4 linked regions of the Astyanax mexicanus genome follow. The protein of the gene in region 1 interacts with the protein of each later gene in a pairwise test. Links are inferred from orthologs where the notes say so. Each region holds a gene or a part of one and is shown on either strand. Other genes may lie near its edges.

Evidence for each region.
Region 2: the proteins of ralbp1 (region 1) and cep57 interact in binary tests that used the Homo sapiens proteins (3 or more experiments, as listed by UniProt). The two-hybrid records come from large-scale screens. The link is inferred for Astyanax mexicanus from reciprocal best matches to the Homo sapiens genes RALBP1 and CEP57.
Region 3: the proteins of ralbp1 (region 1) and reps1 interact in binary tests that used the Homo sapiens proteins (3 or more experiments, as listed by UniProt). The link is inferred for Astyanax mexicanus from reciprocal best matches to the Homo sapiens genes RALBP1 and REPS1.
Region 4: the proteins of ralbp1 (region 1) and tsfm interact in binary tests that used the Homo sapiens proteins (3 or more experiments, as listed by UniProt). The two-hybrid records come from large-scale screens. The link is inferred for Astyanax mexicanus from reciprocal best matches to the Homo sapiens genes RALBP1 and TSFM.

Annotation. Positions count from the first base shown.
Region 1 is NC_064411.1:46,520,222-46,528,228, reverse strand, and holds the start of ralbp1 (ralA-binding protein 1), read right to left. Parts: upstream 3,017-8,007; 5' UTR 2,930-3,016; intron 174-2,929; exon of another isoform or gene 112-173; intron 1-111. UniProt on the Homo sapiens protein: Multifunctional protein that functions as a downstream effector of RALA and RALB. As a GTPase-activating protein/GAP can inactivate CDC42 and RAC1 by stimulating their GTPase activity.
Region 2 is NC_064425.1:11,086,989-11,094,273, forward strand, and holds the start of cep57 (centrosomal protein of 57 kDa), read left to right. Parts: upstream 1-4,276; 5' UTR 4,277-4,435; coding exon 4,436-4,477; intron 4,478-5,421; coding exon 5,422-5,569; intron 5,570-7,285. Other genes in the region: endothelin-converting enzyme-like 1, read left to right, coding at 837-936. UniProt on the Homo sapiens protein: Centrosomal protein which may be required for microtubule attachment to centrosomes. May act by forming ring-like structures around microtubules. Mediates nuclear translocation and mitogenic activity of the internalized growth factor FGF2, but that of FGF1.
Region 3 is NC_064408.1:82,930,589-82,937,664, forward strand, and holds the start of reps1 (ralBP1-associated Eps domain-containing protein 1), read right to left. Parts: upstream 3,020-7,076; 5' UTR 2,512-3,019; coding exon 2,359-2,511; intron 1-2,358. UniProt on the Homo sapiens protein: May coordinate the cellular actions of activated EGF receptors and Ral-GTPases.
Region 4 is NC_064412.1:16,983,959-16,991,536, reverse strand, and holds the start of tsfm (elongation factor Ts, mitochondrial), read right to left. Parts: upstream 3,006-7,578; 5' UTR 2,947-3,005; coding exon 2,899-2,946; intron 2,697-2,898; coding exon 2,559-2,696; intron 2,474-2,558; coding exon 2,345-2,473; intron 859-2,344; coding exon 742-858; intron 639-741; coding exon 557-638; intron 337-556; coding exon 1-336. Other genes in the region: endou (uridylate-specific endoribonuclease A), read left to right, coding at 6,715-6,781. UniProt on the Homo sapiens protein: Associates with the EF-Tu.GDP complex and induces the exchange of GDP to GTP. It remains bound to the aminoacyl-tRNA.EF-Tu.GTP complex up to the GTP hydrolysis stage on the ribosome.

The sequences.
Region 1 (8,007 bases):
TCAGAGCTTAAATAATGCAAAGAAAACAAGTTCATATTCATAAAGTTTTAAGAGTTCAGAAATCAATATTTGGTGGAATAACCCTGGTTTTTATTCAGAGTTTTCATGCACCTTGGGATGTTCTCCTCCACCAGTCTTACACACTGCTTTTGGAAAACTTTATGCCACTCCTGCTGCAGAAATAAAATATAATATAAATATAAATGCATTATAAAATAACACAAACTGAAAAAAAATAGAATATTATACCATGATTTTGAAGGTGTTATAAATGTTAGAAAAAGTAAAAGAACCTATTAGTTTATATTCTACTAAACCTGCCAACTGAATGTTATTAAATGTATGAAAATAGCCTAAAGAACTTAAGAATGTCCAAAAATGCCAATACCCTATTGAAACTAAAAGTTCACTATGACATTTCTAATAAACCTCTCAACATTACCAAATATGTGTCAGATAATCTGTTTAATGTGTAAGTTCTAGGGGTGGGCAATATTATATTGTATACAATATATCGTGACACAGAAATATCATGATATTGTAAGTCCATATCGTGAAAATAGGGATGGTTTGTCTTAAAAGTAGTCCATTATTTACTGTGAAGCTTTAAGTGTATTTATTGTATAATTGTTTTAGTTTATAGTTTTAGTTTGCAGTTTATATGCATGAAAATATTCTGCAATATTTTTTGCTGCATTATATTATTTTATGCTATATTATTTATTTTGCCACATTACGATATACTCTTAAACTATTATACTATATTCCTAAAATTAATGAATTATTTTTCTGTTTTCCTATATTGCCAAATATATCGTTATCGCAAAAATATCCTGAAATAACGTCATATTAATTTAGAGCCATATCGCCCACCCCTAGTAAGTTCTACCCAGTTCTGACCCCAGTGGCAGCTGATGTGTCCTCACTGGACACAACAAATGGTGTGTTTTGGAAACCCTCATGTTCTGTCACATGACAGACCTCAGAAGGCTTAGTCACCCTTTCTCTACCCATATTCTCTTTTTGTGTTTCCCAAAAGACATCAGTGTAATCATTTAATATACTCAACACTGAAAATAACATATCGACTCTGTCCAAAACAGAAATTTTACATAAGATAGATTCCAATGGAGGTGAATGTAAAGTTTAAGTTTATTTCAGGTCATGTTGGAAAATTTCTATTGGCTCATTTATTAAGAAATTTGGCACAGTTTATGTGTTCAAATTATGTAATAACATAAAAATCACCAAAATGCAGATACTTGTTTTACATTGGACAGAGATGACCTATACTCTATACTGTATAATGCCTGTACTGTCTCTGTGCTAAATTGTGTAGAAGTAAACTAGGCCCTTACATGTAAATGGTGAGGACAAAGTTACACCTTCTTTAAAAATATGTCTTCCGTCTGTATTGCACAAAAGATTTCAGCTCATTTTCCCATTTTTCACCGAAACAAGCATCGCATTTGGCAACCACATTTTAGGGAACAAATTTATAATAAATGCATTCATGTGTTCTGTTGAATAAATGAAATTTCCAAATAATTTAACTTGTTACATCGAATAAAAAAAAAGTCAAATCATCTGGTCAAAAATCAAGCAACCAACACAAAGTCACCTGTTCTATGTAAATGCAGCAAACACGTGAGCAGTATGGAAGCATTTAAAGTGTCAGACAATGACCCATGTCAGATAATAATTTTATTATGTGCCCCTTCACTGTTTTCATGCCTTTAATATTAACGTATAATGTAGGAAATAAATTAAAGAAACAAAAAAGAAAAAAACATTGAATGAGAAGGTGTGTCCAAAGTTTTGGCTAGTACTGTAGGACAGGGGTGTCCAAAGTGCGGCCCGTTTTCTTTTTTGGAGCGGCCCTCGAGGTATTTTAGAAATAGAATGAAAGTTGGCCCGCTGTTAAGCAGGTTTTTATAATGTGAGATTCAAAGTTTGAACGCTAAAGAGTCTAAAAGTGGAGAGGGTGCGCATTTCTAGCGCAGAAAAACGGGCCAGAGTCTAAAAGTGGAGAGAGTGCACATTTCTAGCTCAGAAAAACGGGGTACAGATTCTAAAAGCGGAGAGGGTGCGCATTTCTAGCACAGAAAAACGGACCAAAGAGTCTAAAAGTTGCTGTAATTAAGGAGTTTAATATTAAGAGACATCATGAAATTAAACATCAATTTGAAAAAATCTTAGTTTACACAACACTGTCAAAGATAAAGATAGTTAGTCAAGTAAAATGGTGTGTAAATGAAAATAATGAGGAAAATTTATTATTTAAAGAGGTATATTTCATTATTTGTTTTATTAAACAGTGTGGCCCGTGACTTCAAATATATTTCTCCTTCTGGCCCCCAACAAAAAAAAGTTTGGACACCCCTGCTGTAGGATAACAGAAATAAAAAATAACTAGCTCAGTATAAAAATATGTTATCTAACTTAGCTGTACAAAACTGTGTAAATTGTGTATAAGCTCCTGACAGTCACATATACAGTCATTTTAACTATATAAGCTAAGTAACTAGTTTCCTCTGATAACACTGCTAACACTGGCTAATTCCTTTAATTACTCCTATAGGAGTGTATGGCTTTATTTTAATCTTATGGAGGATTCACTTTAAGCTCTGTATTCTATTTTAAACACACATTTAGAGTAATTAAATACTTAACGTTACTTATTTAGCTAGCTGAAGCTAACACACCTAACTAACACAGGCTATCTATCCGGTTAGCAGTAAAGCTGCAGCAGCGCTAGCACTGTTAGCCTGAGCAGCGCGGATTAGGCTTTTACAGCGGGGCAGAAGCTCCCAGCTAACCGGCCGCGGGCTCGACAGTTCAGCGCTCTAATAAATAAACACATTAAATACCAGCTTCAGCTAAAATCAGCACATAAAACACGATAAATACAGCTTTAATTTAAACTAACCTGCTCGGGTGGCTCCACAGCGCTGCTTCCCGTTGACTTGTTTACGTGCCCGACAGGAACGTCAGTCTGCGTAAAAGGTGGACACGCTCAGACTTCTGGGAGATGTAGTCAGTTTCTGCAGCTAGAGCCAAACACGCACTACACTATAAAATCTGACTAATTAGTTAAAGAGCCACTAAACCCTAAACCATATTTTCATTTCATTAATAACTGAAATGTGTTCCTTTAAAGTATTGAAACATATCAGTCCTGCTTAAAATGATTACAAACATTTCCTAACATTAAAAAAAAAAAATTTATTGTGGTAATTCTGCCTCTGCAGCACCTTCTCAGGATCAACTGTGCTGTAGACGTGGATGATGTTTCTGTGTACTTTGGTACACATCACAATGTGTGCTCAGCTCGCTTCTGTAGTCACTAAATACTGAAATCATACTGAACAGTTGGACTGATGGGACAGTTTGCCCAGCCAGCATGCACATGTGTGGCTCACATGGGTGAAACATGGGCTATAAGCGTTTTTTTTTTTACTACTGTGCAGTGTATAGGCCACATGTGCAGTGTATAGCCCACATGGGGCCCATATTTATTGTCTTCTGGTCCCATTACTGACCCTAATGGGGTCCTTCACTATCTGGTTTCCTGTTGGGTAACCCATACGGGCCACACATGGGCGTGTTATCTACGTAGTGTTGGTTATCCAAATTGAGGGGTTCTCAACCCATTTAAACATACATATGCATGAAAAATGTTATTACAATAAAATGAAATATCACTTTTCCAAAAAATAAATAAGGCCACAAAATATTTTACTCCTCTGCTTATATATATATATATATATATATATATATATATATATATATATATATATATATATATATATATATATATATATATATATATATATATATAAGCAGAGGAGTAAAATATTTTGTGGCCTTATTTATTTTTTGGAAAAGTGATATTTCATTTTATATATATGTTTTACAAGCTGTCCATGACCCGCCAAGAACGTGTCTGTGACCTACCAGTTGAGAATAGCTGACCTAATGTATATCTACATAGGTGCTTACATAGGAAAAGTTTCCTAGGTGTTAAAAATATCTTTACATTTTTTACAATGCAGAAAATTACTGGTTACCAAACTTATTTGGACGAAAATAGCATTGTTTTAAGTCCTATTTCAGTGTTTTCTCCAGCAGAGAAATGGAGGAGGCAAACTCTACTGTAGAATCAATTGCAGCACCACTCTTTGAGATAATGAGGCATGTAAAAAAAGATTTTCATTCTAAACAATCAACAGCACATTTAATTCCACCTGTTTAATCAGTTGATCAGTCGTCAAACAGCTGATGACATCAATTGATGATATGCTTAAGCTTGGCTGTAATAAAAACCTGCAGGCACACTGGCTAGATTTTAGATTTTAAATAAGGTGCTATCTCCAGCCTCCCTCCTCCTTCTGTTACTGCCAGCAGATGGAAGCACTGAGCCATAAATGTGGCCTGTTACAGCCTGCTGAATGAATATAGCCAAGGGTGACCAATCCAATCTGCAAAAGGCTGATGTGGCTGCAGATCTTCATTCCAGACAAGCAGCAGAAGACCTCACACACACACACCTCATATAATGATGACCTGCAGCCACACCGGCCGTATCAGATAATACGAGAACCTTGATAGTGAGGTAAAAACTCAAACAAACTGCAGAATAGATCTAACCCAAAATGATTAGAGTCAGTATTACAACCCCAGTTCCACAAATCTTGGGACACTGTTAAATGTAGAACATAGAACACATATCAGTGTTAAAACTGACACATTCTACCATTTCATGAACAACATTAGACCATGTAGAGCTGAATGGAAAACACTAAGATCTCCAAAAAGTTGGGAAAATGCTCCAAAATGCTTGAAAAGTATATGGCACTTTTAAATCACAGAGAGCAAGGTACAGCAGGCCAAGAGTCAGTATTGGATGCTGGTGATCTTCAGGCCCTCAGCTGGCATTGCATTAAACCCCCCGCCCCTGTACTGAGTCTTTCCTGGAAATCACTACATGGGCTCAGGTACACTTCCAGTAATTACTGTCTGTCTGTGAACACAGTTCACCATGCAATCTAGTAATGCAATTAAAGCTGCATCATTAAAAAGAAGAAGTCATGGGTCACCTTGATCCATAAACAGTGCCATCTTCTCTGCCAGTATGCCAAAGCATATTTAAAATGGGCAGATTAACCAAAATTGTACATATTTAAAAAGGACTTTGACCTAGAGAAGATGGCAGAGTTTCTGCATTATCTTATCATTTGGTTTCCTCTTTGCCTTTATGTTGCTCCATCCCAATTTTTTTGGTTCATAAGTTCAAAAAGAGTTTATGATTTTATTAAATTGGCAAAATGTGTCTCTTTCAATATCGACGTGCATCTCAGAATTTTGAATATCATTGAAACATTACTTTATTTCAGTAATTAAGTTTGTGAATGTGAAACTCATATATTATATTGATGTATTTTATTGTTGATGATTATGGCTTACAGCCCATAAAAACCCAAACATCAGTGTCCCAAAAAATTAGAATATTATAATTATAAGACCAATTGGTACTTTTAGCAATGTGGGCAGTGTGCCAAGTCCTGCTGGAAAATGAAATCTGGATGAAGTGCTGTAAGATGCACCTGTAAAATGTGTATGTAATGTTCTATTGTAAATAACATTCTATTAAATATGCAAAATCATTGCATTTTGCAGATTCTTTTTACATTTATTTACACCTTACACAACATCCCAACTTTTTTGTAACTGGGTTTGTAGTACTAGTACTCTAAGATGCTTTGTTACAGACCCAGGTACAGAAAAAAGGCTCCTCGGCCTAGATTCCATTCATAGATATCGCTTCATAAACAGAAGATAACGTGTATTTACAGAGAGCATTGTGTTCCCATGCTGTTCTTTCATTTCTGCACAATCACAGTGATGATTCAGCCCCAGGCGTATCTCAGAGCTCTTAATGAGCCTCCTTAAGATAAGATACGACTATGACTTCACCATGTGTTATGATGGGTCATCATCAAATAAATCAGTTCAAGCTGATTATTTTAATTCAACGCGAGTCAGAAACCAATATCAGATAATGATCACCTTTATAATGCTTACTGACGCACGCTCTCATTTAGGCCTTTCATTTTAGAGAGAGAACAAACATGCAGGCCGCTGTTTTATTTATTTATTTAGTAAAGGAATAGCATCGGAAATGATTTGGCTTGCTTTCTTATGAACAAATTATATTACATTATTCTAAAATTATATTTAATGGGTTAAATCTCTTGCAGAACACAAATTTCATGTGAAAAACTGATCTACTATCAGAAGGAAATGGGGTTAGTAGATCAGTAGTGATCAGTAGATTTTGTGCATAAGTGCAGGTGATTAGTTTATGAGAAAAAAAAACTTTAGAAAATAGGCTGATTTTTTTCACATTTTATGAATTTAGACTTTAGACTAAATAATGCTAAAAGTATAATTTTTTATTCAGTGCTCTTTGTTTTATAATCTATTTAAGTGGCAAAAGAGATGACCCAGAAATGCATGCTTACCAGGTTATGGCTTGTCAAATAATCTACACAAATATAATTAATAAAAATATATAAAATACAAAAATCACCTTGAACCAGTCATATCCATAAGTTATATTAAAAGTACATTTTCAACATTTTATTTTAATATAATAGTTATTCGGTTTAAAAAAAAGGCTTTTAATTTATGAGGAAAATTAACATGTCCACATTTTAGATATATATTTACATCAGATATATTGTTCATATCTGACGAAAGCTATCACAACACCATTTATATGACTGGAAATACCACAGTTCTATATCACAGTAATATATGAATCAAAAACTGTACAATATTATATTACATATATAATATTTATATTCCATTACATTATTATAAGCTACACTGGCAGTTCAGAAGTCATGGGATGTCAGTATGTAAACTGATCATGAAGAAGTACCCTAGGTGACAGCTTGGGATATACTGTAAGTTGTGAGGTGTTATCTTGTAAGAAAGGTTGAACATTGGCCAAGGTGCTCATGGCAAGGCAATTTCCACAGTGTCGATCCACAGTGTCACAAGGTATGTGTATCTGGAATATTTCACAGAAGGCATTAATATCATCCACAGTGACAGAACAGTGGGTAATAATGATCGTGATTGGCTGCATCTGGCTAGAATTGTCCACACAAACAGTAACTGACAAGCAAAATCACTCCACATTCAATGCAAGAGACCTCACATCAGATCTTGCAGGTCAGTGCAATGTTCTTTATCTTGGCAAAAGTCACGGGACATGATATTAGTTTCTATACTATTTTGGCATGTCAGTGTGTACAATCACGAAATCCTCATTTTGTTTCATCCTAAATTGCTTCAGTAAAAAAGTGAATAATAATAAAACTGGTATTGCTTCATAACTCTTGTGTGCAATAGTTGCAGTAGATTGCTGACCTGTTTGTGCAATACACCCCACACTGCCCTTATTAGTCTTGCCCGGGCTGATAAAAAAAATAAAGTTATAAAGATAAAAATTCCCCGAGCCCTAAAGCCACCGTATTCATGTTTTCCCTGTCTAGGTGCTCAAAGAGTGGTGGAGACTCAGTGTTTTTGTTTATGCTAAGAGTCTGAGATTCTTCACTTTTGAAGTTAAAGCTGAAAATATATTGATTTTTGAGGTCCAATGTCTTAAAAGCAGAGCCCTGTCTGTATAAAACCCTGGCATAAGATTGTGCAAATGAGTTGAAGAAATAAACAAACTTTGTTGTTTTCTGTTCCTCACAGGTCAGAGCCTAAGAAAGAGGTCTGCAGTGTCTTCAGGACACAGAGACATGTCCAAACACTGATAGAAAATAGAAATACAATGTAATACTATAAAAAGCGTATGTTTCTAATGATCTTTTATAAACTTATTTAGTATCTGGTGACCGGACAGGCCAAGAGAGTATTGCAATCTTCTGAAGACATTTCTGGGAAACCCTTGCTGTGTGTGAGTGAGCATTATCCTGCTGAAAGAATGAG
Region 2 (7,285 bases), on another chromosome or scaffold:
AAAATAGCTTCTTAGTTTAGGAATGTATCTACACTGATGGGCGTAATGGTTTGGAAGTGAGGTGTGTTCAAGTAAATATCTAGCGGTGGAACACACAGGTGCTCCACTGACTGAATAAATTCACAACAGTCAACACTCAGCCGCCCAATTTTATGTTAGCCATCCAGGGGCACTGTGCTCGTTGTGTGTCTCCAGCACACATACAACCCCACTCGTTAAAAACACACACAGATGCGCTGCACCACCCAACTTTTAACTCAACAATAAACAAAATAAAGAATAAAATAACATCACGGTTCCCTTAAATGAGCTGCTGGCGTACTTTCACAGCATGAACACACAGATCAGTATCCTCTGCTGAGACACGCAAAAGTGCAGCGTTGTTAAGATATGAACGTGCCAAGGTCAGAGTGCAGCTGCCTCTTAAAGGGAATGAAGACTTCCCTACACTGATTAGTTTATTTCATGTTATGTCCAAAACACACCCATGATTAATTAAGAGAATTAGTTCATGCCTTTTTGCGCCCTCACAATACCAAAGACACACTGACACGCCCTAAATCCAGCTGCACAATCCGCAATTGACCGCTGCGCTATAGGTCACTAAAATAGGGCCCTAGATGTTTGATTGCTGTTTGTTTGAGCCACAGTCTTGCTGTACTTTTGTCTGCCAAGTTTGTTTATTAGACTTCTTATTAGTCCTTCGTTTGTTTTATAGTCTTTGTTTTTTAGTCTTAGTGTTTTTTCTTTTTTGTAATGGCAATCTATAGATCCACATTTTTCTAATCACCTGTATGTTTTATTGTAATTAAAGAAGCTGTATAATCTCTCTGCAGGGTCATCGGCAGCGTGTCTCAGTTTGACGAGTTTGGCCGAGTGTTCCACTGTCCGAAGGGCTCACCTATGCATCCTGCCAACAAATGCTCCGTCTGGTGACCTTGGTCATGCTTCTTTTTTCATTTGCTCTGCTCTGTTTGTCTGTCCTCAACATCGCTGCCACAACCAGGAGAAACACTGACGTTATCAAGCAGCTGCGGAACGAGCTCTGGTATCAGCGGACCCAATCGATTTCAGTTCCTTCTGCCTTTGGAGAGACTTAAAGAGAAAAACTAGTTCCACCAAACAGCAATTTAACAAATCTCACTCCATCTCCCATCAGCTTTTATACACTGCCCTCACCATTCTAATACTAATGCTGCGTTCCATCATACAGACACGACTCGGACTCTCGATTAACTGTCATAAACATAAAAATACTTCATGTTAAATCAGTTTGCTGCACCAGTCATCAGTGCTGATTCTTTCTCTAAACACACAAAATTTACCCAAACTACACAAGAAGAAGCTGCATTTGAACAACTTATAAAATGTGAAAAGAGAAAAAGAGAGTTTACAATCAGAGTTTATACAGTCATGAAAGTTTAAAAAAAGTCATGGAAATTTGGTCTACAAATCTTTGAGTTTATCGATGGAGAAAATCTATTTTGAGCTACAAATACATCAGCTCAGAGTTAATTCAGTAATTAAAGCCTACACAATGGAGCTCTCAGGATTTGACACACATTTTATTATTTAAAAAGTTGTGTCAGATTCATTTTATGCTTACTATAATCAATTTTGATTGTTTTAAAAATCGTATGGTCATGAAATTTTCCTTGAAGGCATGGAAAAGTCATGAAAAAATAATGGAAATGTATTTGTTTTAAAGTGTATGAACCCTGTATAATGTAATAACTTTACAACTATGTTGTTTAAATAGCAACATAGCTTGTACATTTATCTCCAATGGTCTATCTTGGCAATGGAAAACACCGTGTGAAAGTGCAGCTCAGTTTCCTCATTGAAAATATCCAGGTAGCGGCGCTGTTAAAATAGCAGTCCACCAAAGTCAGAGCTCTTAAGGGAATGGCAAGTGATGTGATGATTGCTTTATTTTACATTACACTCAAAATTAACCACACCCATGATTAATTGAGTGAATTAAAACATGCCTTTTTCACATTTCGAGCCATGCAAGGTGTTCTTTTTGTATTATTTAGAGTAGAGCTCTTGTATTGAAATGTGTATCGCTGTCGACAGTATCGGAATCGCATTGGAATTGAAAAAATAGAGAATTGGCCCATTGCTACTCTAAACTGCCCTTTGGTGGATGTATTGCAAATGTAAAGAATGCAAAACAAGTATCTGGAAAACATGTGAAGCAAGATCAAGATCAAAATCATTGGATCTGGCAGCAAACCTTTTTTTTTCAATTACAAAAGTACAAAAGTACAGTGGAGCGCAGATAAACATTCCCATTCCTCACTCCCCCCCATCTTCACTTATACAAAACAACCTGCCCAAAGATACAGTAACTGCTTTAGCCATGGGCCTTTATTTACCTACCCAAATCATTTTATTATATTATCTTATATCTTGCATACAATGTTGTTTAAGTTTGTTCAGTGCTGCTTTTTTTTGGGCTCATCATACTGCATATTTTAGCTCAAACTTTATTTTTTCTACATTTGAAAAAAAAAAGTAAATTTATTTATTTTTCTATTTTTATGCATAGCATTCCTAATTTATAATGCTCTTAGTAACGTCATGTTTGAGTTGCCTGGTCTGGAGGTAATGCAGACCCTGAACGAATAAGAGTATGTGTGCGTGTGTGTATGTATGAGTGTTGGGGGGACAAACTATAAAGTATGTTGCCAAATAACATAAATTAAAGACATTTAAAGACGTTTTCCAGTTTTTATGCCACTGGAAAATGCAATGCATTTAGCGCCCCCTTCTGGTTTGGTGAAGAACAGCAGCTGCCACTGTTGCCTGTGTGTCAGTTGTGTCTTGGCCTTTTTGGATTGTTCAAACTGTATTTGTGTGTGTTTTTAAGTGGGATTTGTGTCGAGATGTTGGAACGAATGAACAATTGTACGCATGATTTTTGAAGAAAGCCCCATGTAACTTGTACTATGGCCATATTATTTCAGGACAGCCCTACAATACTTCAGTTCATATGGCATTCACAACTTTCTAGTACTATTCTGAGAACATGACAGACAGTTTGAGAACGAATAGGTTGGAATGTCACGAACGGCGAACTCAGATTTTCCCTGAATAACATAAAGGCCTCAACTTTTATTACTCATCTCTGTGTGACGTGATTCGAAAGCTGATTTTTAATGCAAGATTTTTTTTCCTGACATTCTGTGTTAAAAAAAAAAAGCTAAAAAAAAAAAAAGTTACAGACAAACAGATATGTATATAATCACAGACTGCTGGAGGCCAGGTATTTAAGAAATTTACTATTATGATAAAAATGTTTAATTTTATATGAAGTGACTACATTAAAAAAGACAAGCTACTTTGTAAGGACAAGGTATATGAGAAAGAGGTCATTATAAATATATGCATAAATATATATATCTGTCTTATAAAGCATGTTTACCGCAAAGTGTCTGATACCATCACCAGAATTTACAGACTGAATTACATATTAACATCCACCGAGGTTTAGAATGGATGCTGGAAATGGTGAACTTTGTTAATTTTTCAATAAACAAATGAAGGTCATAAAAACCTGGTTCATGTGGGGTGTGATTCTTTGTGTGTTTTAGTTCAATGACCTTATAAGGTAATTAATGCCCCCCGATTTTAGCTGACTCCATCCTTAGATCAAGTTTGAAAATGTTTGTTAAAACAGATCACTTTGTGTGTAATATATGTTTATAATATATTAGTTTCACATTTTGAACTGAATTACAGAAATAACGTAACTTTTCAATGATATTCTAATATTTTTTTGAGTGGACTAGTATATGTACAGTAGTTAAACCATGTATGTTATTAAGGCTATTTTGTGTATGAGTGTCCCCTTTAAAAAATAATAAATAATAAAAAGTTTTACCTCAATTTAAAATGATCTAAGATGCTCTAATTAAAACATTAAAACCACTCATGTTTATTTATTTATTTATGTATTTATTTGTTTAACATTATAACAACATATATTATAGCATATATATTATAACATATATTTAGTATTATTTTATCTAAATCATTTAAAAATGATCTAAGTTGATCTAATTAAAACACTGAAACTACTCTTGTTTTTTATTATTATTTTTTAACATAACATTTTAACATATTTTATAGCATATATATTATAACATATATTTAATATTATATTATCTAAACCGAGTGTTTAGTGCTTAATATTATTAATACCTGGCTACTATAGGATAAATAAGAGTGCGTGTTTTAAAGTGAGGGCTTTTATTTTGAAAGGGGGACTTTTACGCTTGTGTTTTAGCTGGTTGAGCGGTTCGGTGTATGGCGGTAGGCGGTTGTTTGGTGTAGTAGTGTGTTGGTGAGTGTTTGGTGGTGTATAAAGTGTGAATAATGAGGAGGAGACTGAACCCGGGCTGCAGAAGTGAACGCTGAGCGCGGAGTGATGGACCCTGCGGCTAAACCTGCGGCTCCACACCGAGAGAAGGTAATAAAACCCGGGAAACGGATCCGGCGGTAGAGTTATCCTCCTGAACCGCCCACAACTACAGCTCCTCTCTCAGCGTTACTAACACTGACCTGCAGCCCCGCAACCAGACCCAAATTCACCTGTTTATACTGTATTACACCAGTTATATATTACCCCCAGTCCTCAGGTAAATATAACTGTTACACAGGCTGTTAATGAGTTAACTGGCCACGCTAGCGTTAACAGTTTTCTTCCACCAGGAACAAACTGACAGCTCAACTAAAGATGAGCTCCAACTAAATATATCAGCGTTATCTAATATTTAAACAGCTTTTAATTATATTTAGCTAAATATAGAAGCCCATTACAACCACCTAAAGTAACATTTCAAGATGCTACGTCGTTATTTTAAGATATTAAGTAGTTTTTTGGTGATATACGTCGTTATTTTGAGTTATTTGGGATATTAAGTCGTGATTTTAAGATACCAATTCGTTATTTGGAATAGTAAGTCATTATTTTGAGATGCTAAGTCGTTATTTAGGGATATTAAGTCGATATTTTGAGATGCTAAGTCATTATTTGTGATAAGTTGTTTTTGGGACATTAAAATGTTATTTTAAGATACTAAGTCGTTATTTAGGATGTTAAGTAGTTTTATGGGATGGTAAGAGGTTATTTTGAGATGCTAAGTCGTTATATTAAAATATTTTAACCTAGCTAATCTAAGTCGTCTATTTGAGGTAATATGTCTGCAACAAAATCTTCAAATAATGACTTAGTATCCCAGAATAAGTATGTCAAATATCTTAAATAACAAAAGTAGTGTAGCTCTATATTGGTTCAGATTTTCTAAAAAAAAAAAAACAAAATAGTAAAAACACATTGGTGTAGTGTAATATATCCAGTCTGTTCTGTATCTAAGGCTTTATTGTGTGACCCTTTGTGTGTTCTGTGTGTAGGAGGTGCTGCCTGCGCCCTCTAGAGGCAGGGCGATGTCTGACAGCGCGTCCCTGACCTCCTATGCTGAGTACCCTGCTGGCCGACCCTTCATCAACACACACTTACCTCGTAGACCTGTTAAAGCCTTTCCAGAGAGCAGCAGCGGAGGTAAAACATACACACTTAAATTATTTTATTTTAATGAGTGAAGTTAATGTAAGCAACACACACAAAGCCATTTTCGACCAAATATGCATGGCTGATTTCCAATATGTTGTCTAACTGTGAGTTTTCAGTGGTTCTCAAAAAAACCGACAGTGCACCTTATGCATGAGTTCTACCAGTCTGGTATTAAGGAGCAGTAGAGCCACTCTGCTGAAGAACAGAGTTATCAGGGTGAGTTTTCAGTGAAGTTTCTCCAGCACTAATGCTGGGTGCAGCAGCATTAGCATTAGTTGCTAACTAGAATGCTAGACTGAGGAACCTTAAGTGTTACGAAACCCAGAGTGCTTTCAGCTAGCGGTTTGTTCCACGTAGCTTGTTTTAACATGGCAAACACACAGACTACCGTCCAATATACTCACTTCTGAAGGGCAAAAGAGCTAGCACTGTGGTTAGTGGCTAATGCTAAAGCTGCTGCATCCAGCCTTAGTGCTGGAGAAAGTTCACTGAAAACTCACCCTTATAACGCTGTACTTCAGCGGAGTGGTTTTACCGCTCCTTAATACCTGTCTTCATACATAAGGGGCGCTGTTGATTTTTGGAAGATATTGTACCCTATATTACCTGTTAAAGTATATATAGCTATGCTTTTATTTAAATAATAACAAGTCTTAACATGATATTGGTAGCTGATAATGTGTGTAATATTGAATCGCTGGGCTTATTTGTGTGGAATGCTTCCTGCCTGCGCCACCTATGGGAGTTCTACAAGGAGGTTCTGCACTTTGCCTATGGGATCCAGCAGCTCCCAGTGGTGTATCCTGCGTTTATCCTGTGTTGGAATCCATACACTGATTATGTCTGGAAAACATTGCTCATTTTGATGTAGATATCCTTAGAAGTGTACTTAGTAGTGTTGCTCAATGCAAAAATATGGTACATAATTTTTTTTATGTTATTTACTTTATTCAATAAATAATACTTTACTCAATAAATTTACAATATATTGACCCAGAAATCTTTGGGATAAATTATACTATTTTTATTTTAAGATTGTTTTATGTTACTGATATAATGATAATACGATGGCATAATAATACATTTACATATAATTTTTTAAAAGCATCAAACTCATAATCATTAAGAATCTTCACACATTTAAAATTAAATTGTAATATAAAATGCTTAAATAGCATAAAATAAAACAAATAAAATAAAACACTGCTTTTTTCTGAAATTGATATACAAGCCTGTTCACATTAATGGGCTTTTTTTCCAAAAACTGTACACATTTGTTAAAATTGAAGTCAGCAAAAGTTATTGCGGTTATGTCCATATATTGTGCATCCCTATGAATAAGACATCCTCCTATAAAAGCTCCTCTAACCATGCTCTAATGATTTGCAGCTGATTATAATTAATAACTAATACTTTTTTTACTGTTTACTTCGTAATTGCAAAAAAAAACTTGTCCTTTGATTGTTTTCATGTCTTTAATATTAATCTACAATGTAGAAAATACATTAAATAAAGAAAATCACTGGCTTAGAAGATGTGTCCAAACTTTTGACTAGTACTGAAGGTCAAATATCTATATTTTCAAATGTGTTTCTGTGGGGTGTCCTTATTTATTCACACCTTTATGCAAAACTGGATACACCCAAGCCTTTAACATTCAGTGGACGTATGTGTACACTGGTGTGTTGTTGTATTCCCCATGAC
Region 3 (7,076 bases), on another chromosome or scaffold:
TACTGGATTCTCTCGTCTGTTACAACTCCTATAACAGTGTATGTCTATTTTCAAGTGTAACAAGTGTATTATAAATTAATACATAGACAAAAACCTGTAACAGTAAAAAGTAAAGGTAAATCTGATTTCTATTGTTGATGGTATATAACAGTGGGTATAAAAGTGTGATTAAGTTGGAAACCTGGAATACCTGCTACTTTATTTAATCAACTCTTACCATAAAGATATTATTCTGGACCACCCACAAAAACATGGAGTTAAATGTTAACATATTTGTTTGTGTCTAAGCTTTCAGGCATTATTCAACATCCTTCTATCAGCCAGATATAAACTATTTTATTTGGGCCCATGTTTGGCCACAAACGGACTTTGCTTGTTTATACAATACACTGTAGATGTCTAAGCTCGCTGTGAGATCTGTGTGATATGTCTAGCATAGCTGGAATTATCATAAGTGTGGTTAACCAGCTGTAACAGTATTGAGATATTATCAGCACTGCAAAGCTATCAAGCCTGCCAGAAAGCTTACTCTGAGCTAAAGCCTCATGCGAAGGTTTAGGCAACCTTGGTGAAACGGGTTTGTTTATTTTCTGCAAGCAAGTTATCATATTCTCTATAGAAAGAAATTCATATCTATTTAAATTGTATATAGGCAAATGTAAGTGCAAAATTACTTTGATTTTGCTGAATGTAACAAAGTGTGCCATTAGAAACATTTATTATTTGGGTTATTTACAACATTTGTGTTATCTGCAGCAGTAACACTTTCTAGCAACATTAACTAACAGTTAGTTAATGTGGTTGGTGTTGCAGGGTGGGTAACAAAAATGCTTTAATTTCAATAACTATGATTTGATTCCATGGCCATGAAAACACACCACATTACACCAACAACTAGCAATTTCCCAGACAGGGATTAAGACTAGTTTTAGACTACACAGCATTTAAAATGGTATTTTGTATTAAAAGAAAAATACAGTCTAAGACCAGGCTTAACTGCTGTTCTGGAAAAAGAGGAGTCCTTGGGCACATTAGTCAAGAGCATTAACTAAATATCATACTTCAGTCTAAGGGATGAAAGGTTAAAACATTAAAAATATCATATTAACACATTGTTCAACTTTCTCTAATGTAGTCAATGAATAGGGAGAGATTTGCTGCATTTTGACCCTGAATTCTGTCACAAAATAGATTTGCACTGCGTTTTGCTACCCCGCATTAATCCGACAGCTCCTGTAGCTACTTTAAACACCTTAAATATACACACTTCAGATCCCAAACACGTCTTTAGTCGATAGACTAGTGATCCTGGGCTCCTGTGTCAGTCAATCAGCTAGCTTAGATTTTTTTGGGGAGCCAGTCTTGTCATTACATCTAGCCAGCAAGTCAGTCCCTTTTAAAGCTAATGCTATACTGGCATTCCTCAAAACTGACACAACATTTAAATCAACCTATTAACCCCTTAACATGCCTTGACGAGTATACAGGCTACAGATGTAGGTGATAAAAACCTTTTTTTCTGCAGTAAAATAACTTATTTACATTCTGAAAATTTGAGAGATTTAAAAATATCCTATGGGACATTTGGAAAAGCTGCTTATTTTCTCTCTACTTAAGAATTACAGATCATTAACAGGAATCGAACTAAATTCTGCATGTTTGAAAATAGACGTAAATACTACACAAAAATAACGAAACTGAAGGTTTGGAGGACATAAACTGTTTAATTTGTATTCAGGAAAATATTATTTTAATATGAAGTTCAGTACAGAGACAATTTTATAATTGTATACATTATAGTTTGACATTAGCAGATTTACTTAAATATGTTTTTATACTTTCTATTACAATAACAATTTTGCCTTTCAGTAATGTTCTTTATCGATCATGAAAGCTTTTTATGTAATGATTGAATAGAAATCCTCAAGATTTAGGGGTGTAACTTAATGTCACGCAGAAAACTGACAAAAATCCTGGCCTGTTAAGGGGTTAAAACATCGAAAAGCAAGGTTTTACAGTTAGTTAGCAGTATACTTAAGCCAATGTCCTTTAAAAAAAATACAGCCTACACTTTTTAGCTAGTGTTCATTAAGTTAGCTAGTAAGCTAGCTAGTGTTTTCCCTGCTCTCAGCACACACCTAACCCAACTTGATCTAGCTAATCAACTGATTCACAGCCTGTCAGTAGGGGTTATTATTAAGGTGGGTGTGTTAGGTTAGCTAGCAAGTGTTCATATGAGGAAAAGCACTAATGTTGTGAGGGCAGTGGGCCTCCAGGAGCAGGAGCAGGGCTGAGAGACACTGCTAGCTCTTAAGCTGTGTGTGTGTGTATGAGACAGTGAGTCTGCGGAACTTGCACCTGCAGCACCACGTCGTTGGAGAGCTGGGCCGCCCGGAAAAGGTCGAGCACTTTCCCGTTGGAGGCCACTTTCTTGGTGTTGTCCACATCGCAGTAGATGAACAGATCCGAGTAGTATTTCTGCTCCACATCGGTCAGGGTCAGACTCTCCATGGTGGCATACAGCTGAACTACAGGAGACCGACAGAGAGAGAGCGGAGCGGTGTCCCAGAACTCAGCCTAGCGGAACCAGACCCGGACCAAAACACACCACTGAAGACGAGTTCTACTCCCCCGGCTACTCAGCTCACTCCAGACCCGCCCGGGTGAAATGTACGGACCGCAGAGCCGCGCTGTTCCTGCCTCTCTGTCCCCGTTAGTCTCCGCTGCGCTGCCGAGGCTGCCCGTTAGCTCATTAGCAGCGACAGGCTAACGGCAGGCTAACAGCTAATCAAACTCCTGGATCCGCGGACGGGCTCGGTCCTATTACTATCAGCCTCCCGCCGCCGCTCAGCGGTTCGCACTCCGCTCTTCTCACCGGGGAGCTCGTTTTCTAGCGGCGGAGCGAGCGGCCTGCGCAGGCGTCGGCTCTGGAGAGAAATGCGCGGATCTGTTTGTTAGTAAAGTTTCGAGCTCCTTCCCTCAGCAGCGCCGCCATTCCTGAGCCCCCCGACGTCACCGCGCAGTCATCAGCAGGACGAAGGACCCGGATGACGGGCCAACGGTAAAGGGCTGTGTCTCAAATCGACACATTGCTCGCATTATAGCAGTTAGTGAGTTGTGAAATGGTACACCGCCGTTAGAAGTGCATTTATTATGGTATCTGATCTGTGAACTGATTTTTCACAGTGTATTGTTTATCTTTTAGGTATTTTTACTCTAGCTTTTTATGTAATAATTCACTTTGTGTTATTCTAACAAAAAAAAATCCGTTTAGGATAAAGAAAGTTATATCTTAATAATCTTAATTTTAATTTAAAATTTCAAGCCTGAAATGAAATATATATATATATATATTTGTTTAAATCTAATCTTGTTATTCTGCCTTCAAGTTCTCTTCAGAGCTTAAACGTGTGAGGTGATTTTCCCAGCCAGCATGGTCGATTCGGGCACTTGGCATTCACTTGAGTAGTTTCTCAATACCAAGGACGCAAAACAAACAAAAAAATCACATGACATAACAGAATAAAACAGCTGTTTGTATCAAATAAAATAAGATTTGACAACTAGAGTACTATATTTCTTTCCTCCCCTGCTAAAAAACCCAGCTCAAGACCAGCTTCATCCAGAAAAAATGCTGGTTAAAGAGCTACACTACCAGCATTGGATATGTTTTTAAGAACTTTAATCAGAACTTTAAGAACTTTAATCAGACTTGGTAAACGTGTTCTTATGTACTGAACTGCAGTTTGTGCTCAGGTGTGGACTCGGCACAGTGCATTTGGGTTGAGTCCAGGCTGAGCTTGGTTACGGGTATAGCTTGACTTTGGTTAAAACTATGAATGCTCTGGAAATAACGTTTTTGTCATCAAAAGATATCATTTGTATCCTGTACTTATCTGTTTTTATGTATAGATGAGACCAAGCCATTAAAGAGATTTGACTAGTGTTCATGAGTAGCTTCTAAAAATCTAACATACCACCAGATAGTAATAATTCTTTGACTGATAGTTAATCATTTACCAAAGTTTAATGTTAAATGTTAAAACAAATTATGCTTGTATTTATTATTTTCATGGACAATAATTATTGTTTTACTTTGTTCAATTTTGGTTGGCAACAAAATGGTTAAGCCTTTGAACCGCCAAAAGGAAAAATGTCCAATGAGGATTCTTTTCCTCAGTGAAGTTTACATAGATACAGCCAAGTGAGCGCTCCCATTGGCTGGAATTTAACCAGCAAACCGAAGGCCAAATGTGTCAGACAGACCAATTACAAATTAGGTAGAGACAGTAGTTAACCAGTTCTACATTATAGTGTAGTAAAAACAGTTTCAGGTCTTTTTAACTTTCAAAATAGATATGCCTAACCCACAAGACAAGCAGTAGTGTAGCCACGATTTAGTCAGCTGTTAAAAAATCATATTAAACGGCATGATTTTAGACTGTGATTATTGCACAAACTGAATGCGTTGGTATTAGTTATTATTGCATTTTAAAAATGTGACACATTCTTAAATTAACCACTATGTCTATAGCCCTATATATAGGCTCACCGACTGATTTCAAGATTGAAGACACCTGTTATTTTCCGCAGAGCCATCATTTCTGTCCAGGCCTGTTTAATGAGTTTAATTTAGTTGAAGCATGGTTGAAAAGCAATGTGTGACTTCCATTAGTTCATTTCTATAGATTTTTAATTATTACTTTTGTCAGATTCAAGTTATTTCTGCGACCATTGTGTTTTTTTCTTTCATTACCAAGGGGGTACCAACAATTTTGTCCACGTGACAAAATGCTACCAGACTGCAATATTGGGCAAGGTCCACTAGATGGCTTCACAAAACACGGAAAATGTTCAGCACTGGTCAAAAGTTTGGACACATCTCCTCATTCAAAGTTTTTATTTTCTTACAATGTAAATGAACACTGACAATAAAGAAACACAAAAGGAATCAAGGTGTAAACCGTTAACAGTGTTAAACAAACCGAAATACTCAAAATACATTTAGGTGGGCTTTTATCTGATGTGCTGTTAACTTGCTGTTTCTGAGGCTGGAAACTAATGAACTGATCTTTGATCATCTTTGTGATTGCACTTGTGGATACTTTCAAAGTTTTGGATTTTTTTTTGGATGGACCGACCTTCATTTTTTCTTCGTATTCTTTATTTTACTTAGGTGAGTAGTTCTGGCAATAATATGAATAAGGACATTACTCAAATAGAGCTTATTTACTGTATATTAACTCTACCTCTTCACAACTTTAAAACTGATGCTCTCAGACACATTAAGAGGACAAGAAATTAAAGTATTTATCTTGCTACTTTGAAGAACCTAATATATAATCTATATTCTGGTGTGTTTAACACTTTTGGTTTACTTAATAATTCCATATGGATTTTTTTCATAGTTTGGTTGACTTCTTAACTATAATGCAGAATTAAAATTTAATAATAATAAAAAAAAACTGAATTAAAGTTGTGTCCAAAATTTTGACTGGCACTGCGGGTTTTTAATATATATATTTTAATATTTGAAAGACTAGTATATGCAAATAACGTAGCTACTAAAAATAGACGTGTTATCAAAGAAATAAGAGTTATCCTTAATAAACCTGTGAATCTCCAGAAGAGGGCGCTGCTGCCCATGGGTTCACTTTAATTGGCGACTGAAACGCTGACGCTGAAACTCGACTAAATGAATATCAGTGTTTCATCCATAACATAATTACATACGACAGAATTTTCACACTGTATGAAACTGAACTAGGGTTCAGTAAGTATCTTAAATGTTCAGAGTGTTTTAAATAATCGAATAAAATCGTCTGTAATCTATTATTTAAATAGATTATTTGGTATCATAAAATAGGCTCCACAGCAACATTCCTTATGGGAATAAACACCTGCAGTGCTGAATTAATATTCTTACAGAATTTAATTAATATGTATACAGTATTCTTTTAAATCCAGCTGTGCAATAAATTCAGGACAACAAGAGTTGCACGTTGCACGTCACTATATGCTTTATTGTACACAGTCTATAATGCATATGCTCATACATTTATATTTCTCATGAACACCACTGTTTTGCTTTAGCAGTAATCTAACCTATTATGTATATGTAAATATATATAGGCACAAATGAAGTGTATTTGGTGCTGAAAATGTTGATTAACTAAATATATTTGAGTTAAATATTAAAATAATGATAATCTACAATTGTTTTAGATTAGAAATATGTATTTTTTTTTTTCAAATCTGGCACAAATAGTGTATTGTATTGTATCTGTGTGTCAAAATGTATATCACAAAGTATCTTATATTTTTACATTTGATTATTGAGGGGGATGCATCCCATCTGCCTCCCAGTTTCTTGGCTCCTGCCTGTTCTTTAGCAGAAACAACAAAGAGGTCTATTCTGGTTCCCCAGATTTAAATTCTTTGAACTGTCATTGTTTCTTCTGAAATCAATGGTATTTAAAAGGAGCTTTTTACGTTTATCCTGCTTTCTCTACTGTCCAGAGAAGGCTTTATACTAAATTTTGAAGCATTGCTGTAAGAATTTAATTAAATTCCAAGATGTTTCGTGTTAGTGAGGCCAGGCTGTTGGATGATCACCACCTCATCTCATCCCCAACTCCGTAACTCATCCCAAAAGTTCTGGATGAGTACTCTCATTCCACTCAAGCTCAATGCTGTAGGGCTTTATTCTCCTCCTATTCTGTTGGCAGTAATTCTCAACAGGGGCACTGGTCAGCATGCTCATGGCAAGGCATCGTGAAGTTTTAACAATGCTTGGTAAGTTCCAGACTAATGAGACATACTATTTCTAAATATGTGTGATCATTTAACATTTGTCAATCCACAGTCTACCATCACATGTGCACCAGGAGTGTGTCATAGAAGGCATTACCACCCACATTGGACAGTGCCGTTGTTGATGAATGTAACTGGTGGCGTCTGGCTAGAATTTTCGGTGTAAACAAGCAAATAACATTGACAGAATTTAACATCCACACTTAATATAGGAGACCCACACACATTTTTTAGCTTGCATGGTGCACGGCAAGAGCCATAGG
Region 4 (7,578 bases), on another chromosome or scaffold:
GTGCGTTATGCAGAGTGAGGAACTGTCCTACAGTGTATTTGGGCTCTAGCAGGAAGGTCTGTGGTAAAAGCCGTGTCTCAGATTCCCCACAGGGTAGATCTTCCATGTTGCCAAGAGTATCAGGAGCCTCCCCTACTATGTGCTGTCCCAGCTTCTTGCCCAGAAACTCCACCTCTCCCTCAGGCCCCCCCTGGAACACCACCAGAGAGCCATAGCGCCCCATCATCAAACTGCTGGGCCCTGTAACTGGTGAATGCACATATGAGCCAATGTGCCAGTCAGAAGGTATACCTATGGACACAGCTCGCCTTATGGAGATGTTCTCACCCAGTCGGCCTGTGAAGAAAGAGGGGGGGAAACAGAACTAAGCAGGGCAGTGAAGAAAGAGCAGGAGTCAGAGGTGGCAAGGTCTTTTGTAACTTACACGAACACTATAAAAATTACAAGGCAAGAAAAAGCACCTTAGGCAGAGAACAGCATCTATTCCAGTATGTTATTTAGACATTTAGTCCCTGCAGAATGCACATAAACATCACTAAGACCCACTTTTCCTTACCTATGGTCAGAGCCAGCTGATCTGCCAGTGAGGGGCCCTCCACCATAGTGAGCTTAGCAAGGTCTTCAGCAGACAACAGACTCTGTAACAATAATAAAAGTTTAACATGCTCTTTTTAGATGTGCAAGTTAAATTGAATGATAATAAACATTCACACATGCAGATGCTAAGCAGACTGAACATACCTTTCTGTATCCACCTTGTCCCTTGCTGCAATGATGAGCCATTGTAGCCAAAGCAACATCCTGCACCAGCTGCTGAAACTTTTCATTCCTTGCCACAAAGTCAGTCTCACAGTTTACCTAAACCCATAGAGAGGAAAAAAAGTGTTTTCATGGCAACATGCAATGCACCAACTTTCACTTAGTTTAAGCAAGAGTGTGTAAAAATGCAAAAACTACACCACATTTGTTATTTTTCCTTTTATTGATTACAATCAGGTGATTTTTATGTATGAAATAAGACAAAATTTACATTGACTGGCTGTTACTCTGCCTTGAAGGTTTATTTTGTGTGTAAATGGTTTCTGAACTGAATTTAGGTAGACAAATGCATAACTTCGATGTTAATAGCTTTATGAGACATATGATTGAAATTAAATTAAATATGTGCCTGGTTTCTATGTACTGAGTTCACTGATTTAGGAGGTGGTAAATGTAGTTCACTAGGGGCATAGTTTTGCTCATACAAAGAAATAACTATTTTTACACCATTAATGAGCTCAAAGTAGCTTCATACTTCATTGGTATAAATTTGAGGGCCCTGACATTTAAAACAAGGCACTAAAAAGGCACTGAGAGTGCACCTCCACTAAATTAATTTAACTCTGTGTGAGCGGGGAAATAGCAATGTATTAATATCATTTCACATCAAGCACTCGAAGTGAGTGAGAGAATATTTAAGATACTGCTTGAGATACTCACACTTTAAAGGAGAACTCCAGTCTAAAATGGACTTTTGATATAGTAAAACATGATGCAGAGTACTAACCTTTGTTAAATAGCCCACCATCAGTCTCCCGCATCTTTCTGAGATCTAGTAATTTTGTGCTTTTTGCCCAGCACTTTACATTGAACGATTCGGGGCATCCACTTGCCCCTAAAGATAAATCACTTTTTTACACAATTATCCAGGCTCAAAGTAGCTCCACAGTTTATTTATAGAATCCAGGGAGCCCTGACATTGAACATCAGGTATTAAGAACTTTAAAAGCATTTAGAGCATATTGGTAGGATAGTTGAGCAGATTGCAAAATTCATTCCTTGGAAATGCATGAATTCTAGTTGTTACTGAAAATATCTGGTTGCTGTCATATTAGAACGCATAGAACCAACAACAATTTACATAAACACTGCTCTAAATGTTTTAGTATTTGTGCTCGGCAGTTGACTTAATGTGACTTAAATTTAAAATGGTGGTGCCCAGAGAACAGCGGTGTTGAATAAACTTCTAGTGCAGTTTTAAAGTTCTACATGCCTCGATTTAAATCTCAGGGTTCTCCAGATTCTATCCATGAAGCGTGGAGCCTGGATAACGGTGTAAAAAGCGATTTATCATACGCAAGGCATGCCCTGTATCATTTTTTGTAAAAGCCTGTTTGGGCAAAGTGCACAAAATGACTGAATCTCAGAAAGCTGCATGAGAGTGGAGATGGGCTATTCAACGAAGGTTAGTACCCTTTATCATGTTTTTCTACACCAAAAGTCAATTGTACACAGGAGTTCTCCTTTACGCCATGACTAACTTTCTTCAGTGCTGTCTTTTAAATAAGCTGTATTGAATACTGACCTCCACCATGACTGCTGCACTGTCATTCTTCAGAACACCAATCAGCCCCTCCTTGGCTCTCCTGCCCTCCAGCTTGCTCGCTTTGCTCCATCCCTCCTTCTGAGCCTGTTCATGCAGCCAGCTTTCAGCCTGCAGACAAACAGAACATTAAACACATCTAATTTACAGTATACATTAAAAAACGCATAATTTCTGCATTAATCTACCTGCGTACCTGTGCGATGTCGTTGTTGAACTTCTCCAGCGCTTTCTTGCAGTTGATGAAGGTGTAGCCGGTGGCTTTGCGCAGTTTTAGCAGCAGGGCTTTATCCGGACCGCTGTGTAAACACTGAACATGCTGCTGGAAGCAGACCTGGGAGGAACACGGCGAGATATTTCATTACTGAGCTTTAACTTAAAGAGAATAAATAAAGTGTAGAGAGGCAGGTACATGTTAGATAATCGTCAGAGCACACAGTATTAACACGCCTTTAGTATTGTCCAGCCTTCTTTACACTGCTTTCTGTGCGCTCAGTTTAAGTGTACATGTGCTGAAGCTTAATTATCACCCCTACCTTAGTGAGTTCTTTTCTGATAGACCTGAATAAAGTCGATACAGCCATCTCTGTTACCGGTGTGTCATTGAAGCACGCTGAATACGGCAAGCCGAAAGGACACGGTACTTACTCTACAGTGCTCATACACACACTCAGAGCGCCACCTACAGCAGAGGAGCGCCAAAGGGCTGTGTCCCATATCTGCTGCTGTAGTCTACTAGAAACTGTACAAAAATAATAATATATTATAAAAATAAAATATTTCACATTTTATCGTTTACATAAAGTACGATTTTATTATTTTCTGTCTTGGCATTAATTACACATTATACACATAATATTTTTGAAATAAAAAGGTTCCAATCTGTCATTTTTATCTAAATTGATTTATCTAATATATTCTGTTTCCTTTGACGCTATGTAAGGTGTTATGTTTTTCTATAATTACAATTAATTAAATTAAATAAAAATTAAATCAACATATTTTCTGAACAATACTATACGAATAAAGCTTTATCCATTTGTATTGGTTCTATACAGATGTGCTTCTGAGCACAACATGCAAATGCTAACTGACAGCACAACAAAACAATACAGTGTTCATGTACAACACTTTAGACTTGTAATCGTTAGAAAAATGTATTTATTGAACTGAACTCATTACATTTCCAAACATATTAGAGCAAAGCGTGCATGTTTCCATTTCTGTGTCCACAGTAAAGGTGAGAAAAATACTGTAGTACTACTTTACCCGTGAACAGTATAGCAGATTCAGGATGATTGTTAGGAAGGTTACTGCCAAAAAATAAAATGGGCACCAGTGTTGGGAGTAACGGTGTTAAAACTTTTTTTCAGTAACGAGTAATCTAACTAATTACTATGACTGTAACTATAACGCCGTTACCATTTCCGACACCCTGTTACTGCACGTTACTTTAGCCACACTTTTTTTTACTTCGCTTTGCCCTGGTTAACCCCTCCTCTTTCCGGTGAACTTGAGCTTCTGGCCGCTGTGCCTGTGGTTTGGCGTGGTGAAGTGAGGCACATTTGTGACGATTTGCTGCTCTAATCAATTCAGTGATTGCCGTGGACAGCCCAAGTTTCGAATTAAGGACGTTAAACTCTTTTTAGCTGCTCCGGTTTTTGTGGTGCTGCTGCTTTCTCTTTTAGAGCTTAGATTCTCTGCCCGAACCCGACCTGACCCGAGGACCGACCCGAAATCGGGCTCCTATTTTTATTTTATATAAAGCTCTGGTGTGATAATCACAATGTTGCTAAGTAACCAATTATTATTGTTCACTAAAGCGAACGAAATATAAAAAACTTAAAGTGAAAAAAACATTTGTGTTAACTGAATGTAATAAAAACGGTAATTAAAAGGAAAAAACATAACTATCTCGAACTGTATTTTGTGTTTATAAAACTAACTAAAACGAACTGAAATTACTGATAGAATACCCTCATTTTTAGTGTTTAATTTATTTATAAGCGCTGTTGTACAGCGGAGTTGTACAGCGGCGGTGTTGTGCCGAGCGCGCGGCACCTCGTGGTCCGTTAGTTCTTGTGTAAAAATACGACAGAAAACACTAAAAACTGCAGAATTATAGAATTACAATATGAGCGCCAGGCAGATGAAAGAGAAACCGGAGATCACGTAGCTCTGGGCGCACGTGAACGCCTCCGCGTTTAACTTGCAGCACTGTAGCTGTTCTTAAAAATCATTTTAATTAAATAGTAGTTCTATGCTTCTATGTTACAGTGTTATTGAACATAATTCTGATTATGTTTCGCTCATTCAATCAGCCCGAAAACAGACAGTTTATGGGTCGGATCGGGTCGGGCTCATAATGACAGTTCATGGTTCGGGCTCGGGCAGAACGTGCACGGGCTCCGGCTGGGTCGGGTCGGATTTTTTGGGCCCGATCTAAGCACTATTCTCTTTTGGTGAAGCTGTTATATTAATACCATTTTAGCGGTCATTAGATTGTTGTTATTGTCCATTATTTTGTTTTGTATATATATACATATTTCCTTTGAGTGTGGCTTGGTTTGTTTAATTTCATCCCCAGACGCGTTTTTCCGTTTTTTCCGCTTTTTTCAGTATTACAAGTTTTAGTAATTTTCTTTGGTTGTGTGGAGAATTTCGTTTTATTTTTTTTTTAATTCGTTAGATTATATTTTTGTCAACATTTTGGGTTCATTTTCGTTTGTTATTTTTCTAATAATAATAGTAATTGCATAATTGATTTCCCTTTCTTTTTGACGGGTGAATAATAAAAAGTAACGCGATAGTTACTTTTACTGGTAACTAATTACTTTTATAGTGGAGTAGCTCCGTTAATAACTCAGTTACTTTTTTGGAGAAGTAACGAGTAACTATAACTAATTACTTTTTCAAAGTAAGGTGCCCAACACTGATGGGCACATATTGCTATAATAAAATAGTCCACTGGTGGGACACTTCTACATGAAAGGAAAACCTCAGTGTGAAACAGACTTGAGGTGTAGTGAAACATGATAACGAGTACAACATTTTATTCTGAAATACAGTGCTTTTAGCCAAGGCTTCTAACATGCTTACAATGCTAGTGATAGGGGCATAGTGTTGCTCATGCAAAGAAATCTCTATTTTTACATCAGTACACCAGTACACCAGTAACAAGCTCAAAGTGGCTCCACACTTTATTAGTAGAATTCTGAGGACCCTGACATTTAAAACAAAGCATTGAGAATTTAGAAATTGTACTTCCACTTTTTCATTTTGCAATCTGTTTGTGCTCGTCAGTTGATTTATTGTGACTGTATTTCAAGGTGCCCAAAAAATTGTCTGCTGGTTAAGTAACATGGCGGCATTTTTGCAGTGCAACAATAATAATTATGCATCTAAATGTAATACTGCCATTATAAGAGCCACAATATTTAACTGCTAGTGTATAATATCATAACAGGGTTATATGTTTAAAGAAGAGTTAAAGTTCATGTTGAAATGATCACTTTATGGTGTTGTTACAAGAGTAGAAAAGTGCTACACATAAAACTAATAAACTGTAAGTAAATGGTAAAACACCACGGAACTTTCCTTCCTTATTGTTTCCGTTGAAAGGTTGCAGTTTAAGAAATGTAAGTACATTCACACAATAATTGACTAAATTGACATTCTATATTATTTATATTATTACATTATTACCCTTGCCATTTGTGAGTGTAAGTAATTTAGGGTAATTTAACCTAAATTATAACTTTAATAAACTATTTATATAAACCATTTATAAAAGGTAGTCTTAGTGAGTGCTACCAACAATAAATACGATAATAGATCTTCCATATAGTATAATCTTCTCTGGTTTGTCTGTAATGGAAATCTGTTGAGGTTAATCTGCACAGGTCTCTCTCTCTCTCTCATCCTGTATGACGCTGTTCCTGTCTCAGTGGGAAGAGCACCAGGTGGCTTCTGAAAGAGTCTAAAAGTGCATGTTTAAATCTCGTGCACTTGCCTATAGAGAATAATATTTACAGCAAGTTAACCGTGTGAAACTGACAGACTGGGAGGAAGTGAAGCTGAGATGAGACTTATATAGAAAAAAGAAATGAAAGTCTATCACAATAGATTTACCTTTAATCAGGTTTTTTCTTGGTTACACATAAGCATATGTTGGAGCTACTGTAGAGTTCCATCTGCTCCACATGGACTGCTGAACTTTCAGAGCTGCACTTGTGATTGGATGGTAAAACATATAGGAGGAGCCTGTAAGGTGTGAAGGGCAATTCAGGCTGGTATAAAGACTGGGTGAAGACCTCTTACTGGGTGCTTTCCAGTCAGCATCTGTGTCTGTGATGAAGAGGATGAGGATCACTGTGCTCCTTGCTTTCACTCTCACCCTGATCTCTCAGGGTTACAGCAGTAAGTTAAGAAATATTTCAGTCTATCAGATGAGTGAGTGAGATGAGTACTTTTACTTATTCAGACTGCTGTAACCTTTGTTTGTATTGATTATTTATATTATTGTAGTTATTTTGCATTATTTGTCCTTTCAAATGCAAGGGCCTATATATAAGCGCACCTCTTTTATTCCTTCATTTAATAACTAATAACTTACGTTTTACAGCATGAAGAAAAGCAGTGACCAAGAAAAACAAAATGTAATAGACAGTTGAATTGTATGACAGTAAAATAACTATGAGATTTTTTTAATTTAGTTCAGCAAACTGTTACAAATAATAAATTAAGCTGTAAGTGATTGTAATAGAAAAAAGTGTTTTCATTTTCATTCACCAAAAAATTTGATTTGTATGTGATAAAATACTAATTATTATTACTTACTTACAACAGACACTGCTCTACTGCTCAGGGATTAACTCAATTCTAAAAATAATAATTTTATTCTCAATTCATTTTCATTGCCAGCATATCCAATTCCAATCCAAAAGTACCAACTGGTATTGATTTTGTAATTTTAATAATATTACACTCATGTGATTTATTTGTGTATAAAGTCTAGAATTATTGCATATTCTGTTACAGTTACAAAGTCTGGCCGGCAAAACCGTATCTACCATTTTTTACATTTTGACATAATTTGAATTTGATGTTTTAATGGATAAATAGTAATGCTCCAAAATTACTAAATTCAACCTTTTTAACTGACCTCCATTCTTTTTTTCATCTCATGTAAAGTTGCCATTTTGAATATACAGCTC